Pelodiscus sinensis: one gene and its partner. The protein of the gene in region 2 purifies or fractionates together with the protein of the main gene of each other region. This does not show direct contact. Links are inferred from orthologs where the notes say so. Each region holds a gene or a part of one and is shown on either strand. Other genes may lie near its edges.

The links.
Region 1: the proteins of TOP2A (region 2) and ZNF451 purify together in Homo sapiens (affinity purification with mass spectrometry; 3 studies listed by BioGRID and IntAct, with this or other methods). This does not show direct contact. The link is inferred for Pelodiscus sinensis from reciprocal best matches to the Homo sapiens genes TOP2A and ZNF451.

Annotation. Positions count from the first base shown.
Region 1 is NC_134713.1:44,287,674-44,294,944, reverse strand, and holds the start of ZNF451 (E3 SUMO-protein ligase ZNF451), read right to left. Parts: upstream 3,022-7,271; 5' UTR 2,888-3,021; intron 1,681-2,887; 5' UTR 1,678-1,680; coding exon 1,594-1,677; intron 1-1,593. UniProt on the Homo sapiens protein: E3 SUMO-protein ligase; has a preference for SUMO2 and SUMO3 and facilitates UBE2I/UBC9-mediated sumoylation of target proteins. Plays a role in protein SUMO2 modification in response to stress caused by DNA damage and by proteasome inhibitors (in vitro).
Region 2 is NC_134739.1:10,730,888-10,737,985, forward strand, and holds the start of TOP2A (DNA topoisomerase 2-alpha), read left to right. Parts: upstream 1-4,092; 5' UTR 4,093-4,181; coding exon 4,182-4,241; intron 4,242-7,098. UniProt on the Homo sapiens protein: Key decatenating enzyme that alters DNA topology by binding to two double-stranded DNA molecules, generating a double-stranded break in one of the strands, passing the intact strand through the broken strand, and religating the broken strand.

The DNA.
Region 1 (7,271 bases), on a different chromosome or scaffold from region 2:
ATAGGAGAAGTAAATTTACATATGTAGCACATCAAACATTAATTTCTGGCGAATCTCAGATCATTTTTTATAAGTGTCTTAGGCTTTTTAATCTAAAATGTTGCAAGATGATCTTTTCAATCTCCAGGCTGCTGTGAGAGTGTCTGTAGCTACTTGCAGCTTTTCCCCAGAACATCAGACTTAAATTAAACTAATTAATTCCACTGCTATTATCCAGAATCCTATCAGTGAGGGAAAAAACTCAGCTGCACTTTGCTCAGCCAGACAGTGGTAAAAAGGTGGAGCCCTGGAGCAGCCTCTAAGAACTCCCAGGGGCACTTTCTTTTCAAGAAGCTATTGGAATAGTAGGGCTGGGCTTCACATGATCATTGCCCCAATAACTACTGGCACACTTCTGCCCCTTCCATTTTCTATCAGCCTCTGGCTAGTAGATGTCTATTACTCTCTCTATATATTAAGAATGTTAAGTAGCAATTAATAAGCTAATTGAGAAATCGATGGAATTTCCATCAACTACTCGATTAGCTGATAAGGGGGTTATCTCCTGGCAGTGGCACAAGCAGGGACTGAGCAGTCCAAGCTCGTGCTGGGTCTGAGACCACTGTGGCTCTGCTTTTTAAATGTAGTAAGAGCTGAAAGCTGTCCTAAAAAGGAAGATTTCCCTCTATTCTTCCATATTTCCTTCTGTCATAGGACTGCTTCACCGACAAAGAATTTAGGTTCATGTCCATGTAGTATTACACATGCCGCACTCTCCTCATAAAAATTTAGCAACACACGTTTTTAAAAGTTGTGTTCAGGTTTCAACAGGCATCAGTATTATGTACATACATAAATTACATGACAGTGAAGACAGAGTCTTGTGAAAAATTTGACATTACAGGAGGGATTCTGAGTCAGAAGCCACACAAGAGCATTCTATAATCCATTCTGCAACTGTGTGTGTCGAACAGTACTCTACATCCTAACTAAACTGCTATTTGACTTCTACTCCTATTCATCTCCCCTATCTCTATCAGAGAATACAAAGTGAAATTGTGGTGCCATTACACAATGAGCTGCACACCTGACTTCACAAGTAGTCTGACTGAGTACAGTGGGATTACTCAGAGTAATGCTCCATTTTACTGTATCAAGAATATCAGAATATGACCCCCAGTCTATCCACATGCGTGTGTTGACAAAAGCTAGCTTTGCTCCATTGATTCTCTTATTCAACTTTAGCTGAGATGGACAGAACCACCAACTATTAATGAGGTGTGCTAAGGCTCCTTGTGTTTCAGAAGAGTCCACTGAGGAGACTCCTGCCCACCTAGAGAGATGTCATTATAGGACTCTGGCCTCAAAGCAAAACTCTATTTAATGCAGATTTTCTTAACAGAGGCAGATCAGTTTAGTTTAAGAATTAAGCTGCTTTTTGAAAGCAAAGATTAAAGTAGTATTTTCATATGCTCTGAAAATTTGAGTTTTTAAAATTATATCAATAATTTAAGATATAGCTGAGATAATTAACATTACATATTCAATTCTTAGAACATTTTACATAGTTAACTGGTAAAAGTATCTATAGTTATTGAGTCAATATCTACTTACAGAGATAAACTCAATGTCATCTTCACTTTCATCCCGTGTTCTTGATTCACACTTTTGAGCCTTAGTGGAACTGAGAGACTCCATTATCTGAACAAAAATAAGCCAAAAAATGCTTCATCATTGACTTCATTTTCCCCATTGCATAATCATACACTTCTATAATAATTTGGTTAGCTTCCCCTCCCCACCCCAAGCTATATCCCAAAACAAACATATCACCATTGTTAAGTGGTAATTAAACAACAACAAAAGAAATTTCCAAGTAAACAGAAAAAAAAAGGTATTTTCTGATCTAAAATTTGAATACATTAACTATTAGTATTGGCATCTTCCAAGCACTATAAAATATGGCCTTTTCTACACAGGTAAAATACTAACTGGTACTTGTAGTGCAGCAGCTGCACCAGTAGTAGGTAAGCTCCACTACGGATAAAGCTCACGCATTTCTACCACTATGTTATGAAAACTCAGACATGTTTTCATAATATGGTGGTATAGAAGACCAAGCTCTCTCCCTCTATTAATAACATCAATGAACATAAACACCATCAAGGGGCTCATCCACCTGCACATCCACTAATAGGATCTATGCCATCAAGTGCCAGCAATGCCCCTCTGCCATCAATTTTGGCCAAACTGGAAGTCTCTGTGCCAGAAGATAAACAGACACAAATCAGACATCAAGAAAAGTAACATAGTAATACTGTACAGCAGAGGAATATTTGAACCTCCCTGGACATTCAGTAATGGATTTAAAAGTAGCCATCCTCCTTTTTTAAAAAAAAACAGTTAGAAACAGCTCAACTCCGATTCATTTGCAAATTCAAGACAAGCAAATTAGGCCTGAATAAAGGTGTGAACTGGCACTACAAGGCACTACAAGGGCAATTTCCCCATCTTGATAGTCACATCTCCCCATCAGCTGTTGCGGAGGAGCCACCTCCCCAGAGAGCAGAGGAAACAATACGGGGTGACACACAATCACCAGGCGCCACTAGTTCCACCAGCGCCGTTACCCGGCCCAACGGGAGGATACGCAGGAAGAGAAGGGAAGCACGAGCGCGTCACTGCCCTCACCCCCAGTGAGCGACCCCAAACCAGTGACAGGGGCAGGTTGCTAAGAAACTGCCCCCGCGCTCATTATGCGGTACCCTCTCCCCATAATGCTACGGGCGCATTTGGCAGCTGCCCCCGGGCCCGGCCCACAACACAGACGCAGGGCGGTCGCGTGCTACACCCACAGAGGACTTCGCTGCTCACAGAGAGACCAACGGCCCCTTAAACCGTCGCTCACCACGGAACGGTAGCGCTGCCAGGGCCCGCCCCGCCGCCGCCGGACGCATCGGCTCCCCAGCGGCCCATACAACTCTCCCGCGTGAACGCCTGGACCAGCGCGCGCTCGGCTTCCTCCGAACGCGGGGCGGTGAAGACCCGCGCTGCCTGCTGGGAGTTGTAGTTCCTAGAGCATGCCCGCCCCTCCGCAAGCTGGAGCGGTCTTCATAGAGGTGGTGTATGGGAGAGCCAGCACAGGGAGCGGCTAGAGCCCCCAGCAGCCTGCTAGCGCCTCCCTGCGCTCCCCTTCACTGCTGCTGCTGGGCCTTTTCGTTTCATAACGTGTTCAGTGTGTGCACGGCTTACACACAACAATGGGAGTAGGTGACTCAGGTCATGGCATTTGGGATGAGCAAGGCAAGGGAGTAGCTCTGTAACTAGAGAGGACAGAGGGCAAGTCCACACAGCAGGACAAAAGTCAAATGAAGCTGCACAACTTCAGCTATGTCAATTGCATAGCTAAAGTCAAAATAGCTTAATTCAGGTTTTGGAATGCTCTTTCTTCCACTTCCCTTGCTTCTTGTGAAATGAGGGTTACAGGAATTGGAGTAAGAAGTCCTTCTCCTTGCCCTTATTTCGAAATAATGGTTTGCTGTGTAGAGGTGCTCTTTGTTATTTCAGAATAACATCAGTTTATTCTGAAATAACACTGCTGTGTAGACATAGCCAGAGTGTCCTGAAGTAGGGACCCAAGGAGCGGACGAATTGAATTACACTGTAGTTAATTTCTCTGTTAATAAAGCCCAAAACCCAAGGGGATAGTTTTTATTCTACAGTGTGAGGAATTTGTTTTAGAACAGAATGGGTAAATTCCCTACTCACACTTAGAATCAGTGATATCTTGTGGCAATGAGTTTCACAAGCTAATTGTGGATTGATGAGATAAAGTATTTCAGTTTGTTACAATTCCATTTCCTTTTTGTTCCCTTATTCTTGTAATAACAGAAATATGATTGTTTTTATTTTACCTTCTGTGTCCCATTTATTATTTTATTTATTTCTATAATGTCCCCTCTTTATTATCCTTTCTCAAAACGAAACAGTTGCAATTGCTCCTGATAAAAGATTTTACATGCTCTATCATCTACCTTTGGTCTTTTCGTTTTTAGAGAAAGCCCTAAAAAGTGACCTAAAGTGAATTCAAATATTCAAGGTGAACACATACCAGTGTTTGACATAATCTATATATTTTAGAAATGTGCATCTGTCTGTCTGCCCAGGAGATGGCGGACAGGGTGCATGGCCTTCCTGCCCCTGGCCACCAAGGAGAAACTAGAGGGCAGGTTGCACAGTCGTCCCCAACCCCCACTTCAAGGAAAAAGAGGGTGGGTGTTGTGCCCCCTGCCACTCTTGGGGAGAAGCTGCCAGCCCTTCCCATCCCATCCTGAGACCCTGCCCCCCCTCCTGAGTTCCCATCCCTTTCCTCTGAGCTCCCCCTCTTACCAATCCTCTGCCCTGATTCCTGCACCTCTGCCCTGAGCCCCTCCTCACCCCCAGCCTGACTTTTGCATCACCCATGCCTATAGCCTCCTGTCCTGAATCCTGCACGCTGCCAACCCCTTGCCCTGAAGCACCCAGGCAACACCAGTTAAGTCGTCTAGTGATATTATATGTTCTGTATATTTTTTCCATCCTATTGCTTACATATGATAATGTTTCATTTGCTTACTTTCCAGTGAACAAATGTTCTTACTGATCTGTCTTTAAAGAATGATGCACAGGTTCTTTACCTGAAAGATTTCCACATTTAATCTAGAATCCAATTACATGTATGAATAAACAATTTCTTCCGATGTACATTACATTTACTTAAAATTCCATTCCATTCTGTCATTATGCTGACCGACTTTTGTAGGTCCCTTCAGAATTCCTTACAGACAGCTCAGTGCTGGCAAGAACCAGGGGAAAAAGTGAGCATGTGGCTGGCTGCTAGGATGAAGCCTAAGACAGGTGCCAGCAAGGGCCAGGTGGTTGCTGGGACCAAGATAGTTGCTGGAGGAGCAAGAAAGGAGCTCCTGGCTGGCTGCTAGGACCAAGTAAGGTTTGAGCCCAAGGAGGGCCACAGGAAGGTAGTGGCTCCAGGGAGAAAGTCCTGGGAGTCCTACCAAGGTGGGACTACTTAAAGAGGGAGTCTGGGAAGGACTAGAAAGACACCAACCAAGGAGTACTGAGATGGTTCCCCAAGGGACTGTACATCCTGAAAGTGATCTGGTCTGATTAATACACAGTACATGTGACTCGGCCAAAGGGCTGTCTCTGGAAAACTCTGAGAAACCATCAATGGGTTGAAAGACTGCAGACAAACCTAACCAGAAGAGGGCACTAGTGAGAGGCTTGTGCCACCCCATTAATCAGATAAGAGAATATATTAAATACCACTTATTACTCTAATGCAAATGCTTTGAGGTCCTAACAACTTTTGCCATGATGAATATTGGCCAACTATGCCTACTTTTGTTTTCTGTCACTCTGACCAGTGGTTCTCAACCATGGGTCTGGGTTCCCCCAAGGAGCCAACAAGCAAGTTTAAGAGGGTCTGCCAAGCACAGTTGGCATTAGAGGTGCGGGGCCCAGGGAAGAAAGCTGAAGCCCCAGTATTTGGGGTTGGACACCAGGATTCTGAGCCTTGCCCGAGCCCTGTGGTGTCAGGTCCTGGCAGGTGCTCTGCTTATACTCTTCAATGCTGGTCCTAGCTTTTATATGTAGAAAAAAAAAACCAGTTTCTGTGACACAGGTAGCCATGGAGGTTTCATAGCATGCTGGGGGAGGATGAAGAGGGACTCAGAAAGAAAAATACTGAGAACCTCTGCCTTAGACAGTTTCTGATCTGTGACTATTAAGTTATTTAATCATCCAGTGAAAAGAACTCTCTCAGGGTATGTCTACACTACGCTCCTAATTCAAACTAGAAGGATAATGTGGGCATACCGCACTTGCAAATGAAGCCTGGGATTTGAATTTCCCGGGATTCATTTGCATAAACCGGGCGCCGCCATTTTTAAATCCCGACTAGTTCGAACCCCGTGCTGCGTGTAGCCACGTGGCACGGGGTTCGAACTAGCCGGGATTTAAAAATGGCGGCGCCCGGTTTATGCAAATGAAGCCCGGGAAATTCAAATCCCGGGCTTCATTTGCAACTGCGGTATGCCTACATTACCCCGCTAGTTCGAACTAGCGGGGTAGTGTAGACATACCCTCAGGAGCTTGTTGGAAGTTCTGAGTAAATTATACCAAAAAGTTGTTCCTTATGTACATTGTTGTCATACTTAATCATAGTTGGGAAAATATTTTGTTTTTGTTTTTCCCCCACATACAATACCCAGAGAGCCATTGTAACCATGCATTTTTGCATTACAACTGAGAATATTATATTCAGGTCATGCTGCTGAGAAATAGGGCAAATATATCCCCAAATGCTGGTGATTACTCTCCCTTAACATATACCAAACCAGCCACAAAAGTAAATGTCTCTCTCACCTCAATGGCTAACAAGAAGTCAAAAAACAGTTAACGGAGGCATTCCAGTCTATCACCCTAAAAACCACTGAATTTAAAGGCAAGTGGATCTATACAACCAGTCTAATCAAATAAGTTCTTCTGATCCCAAAGGACCAGCCACATACCCAGGGCAATACAGGCAGTCCCCGGGTTACGTACAAGATAGGGACTGTAGGTTTGTTCTTAAGTTGAATTTGTATGTAAGTCGGAACTGGTACATATTGTAGGGGAAACTCTAGCCAAACATTTCTCCAGAGCTCAGTTTTATTCTCCCACACCTCACTTCCCTCCGTCCTTTATTCTCAAGCTGAGATGTCTGCTGAGAGAAGCCGCTCCGCGTCTCCCTGGTCTGCTGGGTGGGGCGCTAGCTTCGCGTCTCCCTGGTCTGCTAGGGGGAAAAGCAGCTAGTGCGGGGTTGCCTCACCCCGTTTGTAAGTAGGGATCCGATGTAAGTCGGATCCATGTAACCCGGGGACTGCCTGTACAGAACTCAGATCTTACCCCAACATCATGCTGTGCCAGTCCTTTAATATCTAAAATCCAAAGGTTTATTTATTGAAAGAAAGGTGAGAGTTAAAATTGGTTAAAGTAATCAAATACGTATAATAATTGCAGCGTTCTTAGTTCAAGCTATAGCAGTGATGGAATAAACTGCAAGCTTAAGTCAAGTCTCTGGTTGCTCCTAAATAATTGGAAGCACCTCAGTCTTTTTGTTAGAATGCTCTCATTGGGATAAGTCCATAGTCCAGAGATTTAAACAGGAAGGAGGCAAAATGGAGGTGTTTCCAGATGCTTAATAGCTTCTGCAAGTGGAGACAATCCCACTGTTTTTACTGTGGAAAATTACA
Region 2 (7,098 bases):
ACAGCAGCAAACCTCCAAGGCTGCATGAAGCAAAGGGTCAGCACCGCAGAGCTCCTTGCGATCAGAAAACAGCCTGCCCTTGCGGTGGCATTGCCTTAGCAGCCCTCCAGGCACAGCAGTGGCCAGTACAGTCCTCTGCTGATCCCAGCCAGCAGACACTCCAGGAAGGCGTGAAGCCCAGCAGACAGGCTGTCGACAGAAGCCAAAATGACTGTGGAAGTCACAGACTCAGGAAGGGCAAAGGGACACAGCACTGGGAGAGGGAGTGACATAATGCTTTGCCACAACCTCGTCTTCTCACTGACGTTTATATAACACCCTCTAAGCAATCAAACGTGCATCTGCAATTAATTTGTCTGATCTTTTCTCCTCTGTGTGCGCGCATAGTCGCTTGGCACTGCAGGGGTGTGTGGGAGCACTGGGCATCTCAGGCTGGTGTGGGCTTGGATGGTTGTTTCTGAGCGCAGCCTTTATTTTTAAAAGAAAAAAATAGTACTGGCCAGAAAGCAGCGAGACCTCCTCACAAGGGGAATCAAATTGCAAAGCCCCCGTGATCCCAGTTTATGCATGGCAGCCTCTTGTTTTCAGAAACAACAAGAAGTCCCATGGTACCTTAGGGTATGTCTACACTACAAAGTTAGTTCGAACTAACGGACGTTAGTTCGAACTAACTTTAATAGGTGCTACACTAGCGCTCCGCTAGTTCGAATTTGAATCGAACTAGCGGAGCGCTTAGTTCGAACTAGGTAAACCTCATTTTACGAGGACTAACGCCTAGTTCGAACTAGCTAGTTCGAACTAAGGGCTGTGTAGCCCTTTAGTTCGAACTAGTGGGAGGCTAGCCCTCCCCAGGTTTCCCTGGTGGCCACTCTGGCCAACACCAGGGAAACTCTATGCCCCCCTCCCGGCCCCGGACCCCTTAAAGGGGCACGGGCTGGCTACGGTGCCCGTGCCAGGTGCAAGCCTGCCAGCACCCAGCTAGCAGACCCTGCACCTGGCACGGCACAGAGCCACCCACCCGATGCCCCCCAGCCCACCCCCTCTTGCCGGGACCAGGCTGGCGGCTCCCGGGAGCTTGCCCTGGACCGCAAGAGGCGGGCACCTTCCTGGGCTAGTGCGGACATCGTGGACCTCGTCCACGATCTCCGCACTAGGCACAGGAAAGTGGCCGTCTAGGGCAGGAGAGCTGCCAGCCTGGCCACCCAGGACCAGGTGTGCATGAAAATCAAGGGGGTCCACTGAGACCCCCGACCCTGAGCCCTGAGCTTACAATGGCCGTACTGGGTCAGACCAAAGGTCCATCTAGCCCAGTAGCCTGTCTGCCAACAGCGGCCAACCCTAGGGACCCTGGAGGGGATGGACCAAAGACAATGACCAAGCCATTTGTCTCGTGCCATCCCTCTCCAGCCTTCCACAAACTTTGGGCAGGGACACCACTCCTACCCTCTGGCTAATAGGACTCCATGGACCCAACCTCCATGACTTGATCTCACTTCCCTTTCAACTCTGTTCTAGTTGTAGCCTTCACAGCCTCCTGCAGCAAGGAGTTCCACAAGTTAACTATTTGCTTTCTGAAGAACAACAACTTTCTCTTACTAGTTTCAAGCCTGCTACCCATTCCTTTCCTTTGGTGTCCTCTAGTCCTTCTTTATGGGAACTCAGGAAGAACTTTTCTGAATGCACCCTCTCCACCCAACTCCTGCTTTTAGAGACCTCTATCCTGTCCCCCCTCCATCTCCTCTTTTCTAAGCTGAACAGTCCCAGTCTCTGTAGCCTTTCTTCATCTGGGACCTGTTCCCAACCCCTGATCATGTTAGTTGCCCTCCCCTCTCCCAGCCTTTCTCTTCCCCTCTCCCACCTCCTTTTCCCAGTCTCCCCCAGTTTTTTTTCAATAAAGACAGAGTCAATGTTGGAAGAAACGTTATCTTTATTTTGTACATCAATAAGAAGGGGGGCTAAGGAAGGGTAAGTGGAAGGAGGTGAGGGAGGAATGGGGTACGAGCCCCCGATGGGGAGGACTGGGCTGGCTCTGTGGGCTCCTCACGGTGGAAGCTCTCCTGCAGCCCCCCAATTACTCCCTCTCCGCAGATGGCAGCCTGCGGCAAGTGCAGCTGGGCTGATGGCCGAGTGGTGTGATGTGCCCAGTGTGGGCACTCAGGGCACTCCAAGCCAGAACTTCTTTGCAAGCGGGGCACCCCTTAGAACTGTGTGTCCGGGGTGGGGGTCGGGACCCTTTAAGCGCAGCCCTCGGCTAGCCTGAGACAGCATCTCCATGCTCTAAGTCCTCCTTTTATGCCCTGCCGGCACTGCTTCCGGCCATCCTTAAGCCCTGTTCAGAGTCCACTCAATGTGGACTTGCTAGTTCGAACTAGCAAAACGCTAGTTCGAACTAGTTTTTAGTTCTAGATGCGTTAGTTCGAACTAGCTTAGTTCGAATTAACTAATTCGAACTAAGTTAGTTCGAACTAGCGCTGTAGTGTAGACATACCCCTAGAGACTAACCAAAATAGATAGAAGCACATGAGCTTTTCGTGGGTAAAACCCACTTCCTCAGATGAATTGGAGTGAAAATAACAGAAATCAAGAGATCAATGTAACAGCAGACGTCTCTGTCAATTGTAAGGCCCAAGTTAATGAGGCTAATTAACACTGGTCATACATAGCTTTTGATGTGGAAATGCAGATGCTAATGGCAGGGGAAATTGGCTTAGGCCCAGGGTAACAAAGCCATTAACTGGTTGAAGCATTACAAAGCCAATTTCTCCTGCCATTAATATCTGCATTTCCACATCAAAATCTATGTATGGGACACATCCAGCCCACTTAATTAGCCTCATTAACATGGGTCCTACAATTGACAAGTACTACTTCTACTATTATATATATATCTTGGTTTTTGTTATTTCCACTCTAATTCATCTGCTGAAGTGGGTTTTGCCCACGAAAGCTCATGATTCTATATATTTTGGTTAGTCTCTAAGGGTATGTCTACACTAGCTAGTTAATTCGAGTTAGGTAGGATAATGAGGGCGACCGGAGTTGCAAATGAAGCCCGGGATTTAAATATCCCGGGCTTCATTTGCATGTTCCCAGGTGCTGCCATTTTTAAATGCCCTGTAGTTTGAACTCCCTGCCCGCAGCTACACGCGGCATGGGCTAGGTAGTTCGAATTAAAGCTCCTAATTCAAACTATTGTTACTCCTCGTGGAATGAGGAGTAACAGTAGTTCAAATCAGGAGCTTTAATTCGAACTACCTAGCCTGTGCCGTGTGTAGCCGCAGGCAGGGAGTTCGAACTACGGGGCATTTAAAAATGGTGGCGCCCGGGAACATGCAAATGAAGCCTGGGATATTTAAATCCCAGGCTTCATTTGCAACTCCGGTCGCCCTCATTACCCTACCTAGCTCGAATTAACGAGCTAGTGTAGACATACCCTAAAGGTATGTCTACACTTGCACCCTAGTTCGAACAAGGGATGAAAATGCAGGCATTCGAAATAATCAGTGAAGCGGGGATTTAAATATCCCGCACTTCGTTAGCAAGATCTCACCATGCACTAGTTCGAATCACAGCTGATTCGGACCAGGACATGCACACCGGGACGCGTTCGTTCTAACCAAACCCCTTGGTTTGAACTAACGTTACTCCTCATTTATTGTCACTGACTTAAGAACGATCAATCAGTTTCTGCTGGCAGTTCTGAGAGAGATTTTGAAGGGGGTGAAGCATTCACCTTCAAGAGTGTTGTCCAGTTTTGGGGAGTGGCTGTTTTTGGATGTCTGGCTCCAGCCATCCAAGCCCTCATCTGGAAAGAGCTGAGGACCCCGCAGCTTCCTCATCCCTGCTGACACTGTGGGTGCTTAGCACCTCTGTGAGTCAAGCCTTGAGCGTCTCCTAATGGGCACTCAGCACTTGAGAACAGCTGGTTTTAGCCAGTAACTGGATCCTGAACAGCTGCCAGGGTTTCCCTTCCAGGGTACAGGGCACTGCCCGTATCCCTGGGGAAGATGGCGCAATCCACTCTCATGAGGTCACTGCAGTTGTGTCTATGACCTCGTGGGGCTCCGGGCTGCACAGAAAGACCGCCTCCTTGTTTACATCCCAAACCATCAGCCGTGCGGGAGGAAAGTCATTTCCCTTGACTGCCAACATCCCAAAGGGCAGTGGATGGAGACAGCAAGATGAGCGGGCAGGGCGATGGCATGAGGAAAACTCCAGCAGCTTCCGGGAGAAGTTCCCAGGCAAGGGCAGATGTGCAATGCCATGGATGTCTGAGATTCGGTGTCAGTGGCCAAGGCTAAGGGCTTCCCTGCCAGTGCAAAGCCTGGTTAGCGATTGCTGATCCTCAGGGTAGAAGCTGCTATAGAAACACCAGGTCAGATGGGTCACTGCCCCACAGTCCCTTTGTGCTGGCCACGTTGCCACAAAGGAGTGAGAGAATAGGTGTATATGAGGTCTCTGTGCCTACCACTGGAGCAAGAACATCTGCAGAAGACCCCCTCCACTTGCACTCCTTCCCAGTGCAGAGGGCAGGCTGGGGGTGCACTGGAGGAGGGAAAAGGCAGGGCAGGTGTAGCAGAAGGAGTTGGAGCAGCCCTGCATTCTACTGATTCTTGGCTGCCATGATCCAAGAGGGACTAAATTGTCCTAGTCCAGTGTTTCTCAACCAGTGGTACCAGTACCCTTAGGGGTACTAAAGAGAAGTCTGGGGGGTACGTCCACACAACTGAAATTTGGAGAAAACTGAATTTTTGTTTTAAGTTTTCTTATTTTTGTACTTTTTACACCCAAAAATGTCATCGCCCCCCCGGCTACCATTAAGTTGTTTAAACAAATGTGTTGCAATGGTAGAAAAAAATTGTCTCTGAAAACTATAGGTACTGGGGGTACTTATAATTTTTTTAAAGGGTACTTTATAAAAAAAGGTTGAGAAACACAGTCCTAGACTATGCTAGGGACTAAATTGACGCTCCAATATCACATGAACAAGGAATATGCAATCTCACCTCCCGAATGGCCCTAGTGCTGGTGCAGAAATGAATTCCCAGGGGTAACAATATGGCAAATGAAATTTAATGTTGATAAATGTAAAGTAATGCACATTAGAAAAAATAATCCCAACTAGACATACAATATAACGGGGACTAATTTGTCTACAACTACTCAAGAGAGAGATCTTGGAATCACTGTGGATAATTCTCCAAAATAATCCACTCTGGCTGTGTCTAGACTGCATCCCTTTTCCGTAAAAGAGATGCAAATTAGACACATCGCAATTGCAAATGAAGTGGGGATTGAAATCCCCCCCGCTTCATTTGTATAAACATGGTTGCCACTTTTTTTTCCGGCTCGGAGCTTTGCCAGAAAAAAGCGCCAGTCTAGACGGGTATCTTTCGGAAAATAAAGCCTTTTCCGAAAGATCCCTTATTCCTTATTTTAAGAGGAATAAGTGATCTTTTGGAAAAGGCTTTATTTTCCGCAAGATCCCCGTCTAGAATGGCGCTTTTTTCTGGCAAAGCTCCGAGCCGGAAAAAAAGCGGCAGCCATGTTTATGCAAATGAAGCAGGGGGGATTTAAATCCCCGCTTCATTTGCAATTGTGATGTGTCTAATTTGCATCCCTTTAACGGAAAAGGGATGCAGTCTAGACACAGCCTCTGTGTGCAGCAGCAGTCAAAAAAGCAAGCAGAACATTAGGAATCCTTAAAAAAGGGATAGAGAATTAGACAGAGAATATCTTACTGCCTCTATATAAAACCATCAGAGCCAGCTCTATGGAGCGTGGGGCCCGATTCCTGGGACGGGGCCGCACATGCGCGGGGCCCCGGGCGGCATGGCGCATGCGTCGCACACCAGAGGCACGACGCATGCGCTGTGCGTCCCAGATGTCACGATGCATGCGCAGTGCCCCGGGAGTACAATGCATGCATGGCCCCCCCCCGGGCACATGGCGCATGTGCCATGCGCCCGGGATGTCACAACGCATGTGCCGTGCGTCCAGGGGCCCCACGCAAGCGGTGTGCTCCTGGTGCACTGCGCATCCGTCGTTTCCCTGGGCACGGGACCCCCTCAGGCACAGGGCCCCACACTGGGGAATCGGCTGAATTGGCCTAAGGCTGGCCCTGAAAACCATGGTACGCCCCCGTCTTGAATACTGCATACAAATGTGATCGACTCATCCCAAAAAAGAAATATTGGCATTGGAAAAGGTTCAGAAACGGGCAACAGAAATGATTAGGGGTTTGGAATGGGTTCCACATGAACAGGATTCACCAAGTGACGCGAGCCCTGCTCGCCAGCCACGCGGTTTGGCACACTGCGCATGCGCAGATCGTGCTGCGCATCCACTGAGCACACTCTGCGGCTGTGCCGACTTGTAATCAACTCGCCATGAGCGAGTAGATTACACGAATTGTCGAGCCCTGCATATGAAGAGAGATTAAAAAGACTGGGACTTTTCAGCTTAGAAAGGAGGAGACTAAGGGGAGTATATGATAGTGGTCTATAAAATCATGACTGGTGTGGAAAAAGTGAATAAGGAAAAATTTACTTGTTCCCATAAGAACTATGGGTCACCAAATGAAATTAATAGGTAGCAGGTTTAAAACTAACAAAAGGAAGATTTTCTTCACAGAGTGCACAGTCAGCTTGTGGAACTCCTTGCCAGAGAAGGTTATGAAGACCAGAACTTTAACAGGGTTTAAGAAAGAACTAGATAAATTCATGGAGGTTAGGTCCATCAATGGCTATTAGCCAGGATGGTAGGAATGGTGTCCCTAGGCTCTGTCTGTCTGGAAATGAGTGACAGGGGAAGGATCACATGAGGATTACCTATCAGAGGGGGAGCCGTGTTAGTCTGAATCTGCAAAAGCGGCGAGGAGTCCTGTGGCACCTTATAGACTAACTGAAGTGTAGGAGCATAAGACACTGACGAAGTGGGTCTTTGCCCACGAAAGCTTATGCTCCTACACTTCAATTAGTCTGTAAGGTGCCACAGGACTCCTCGCCGCTTTATGAGGATTACCTGTTGTGTTCCCTCCCTCTGGGGCATCTGGCGCTGGCCACTGTCAGCTGATACTGGATACTGGGCTAGGTGGAC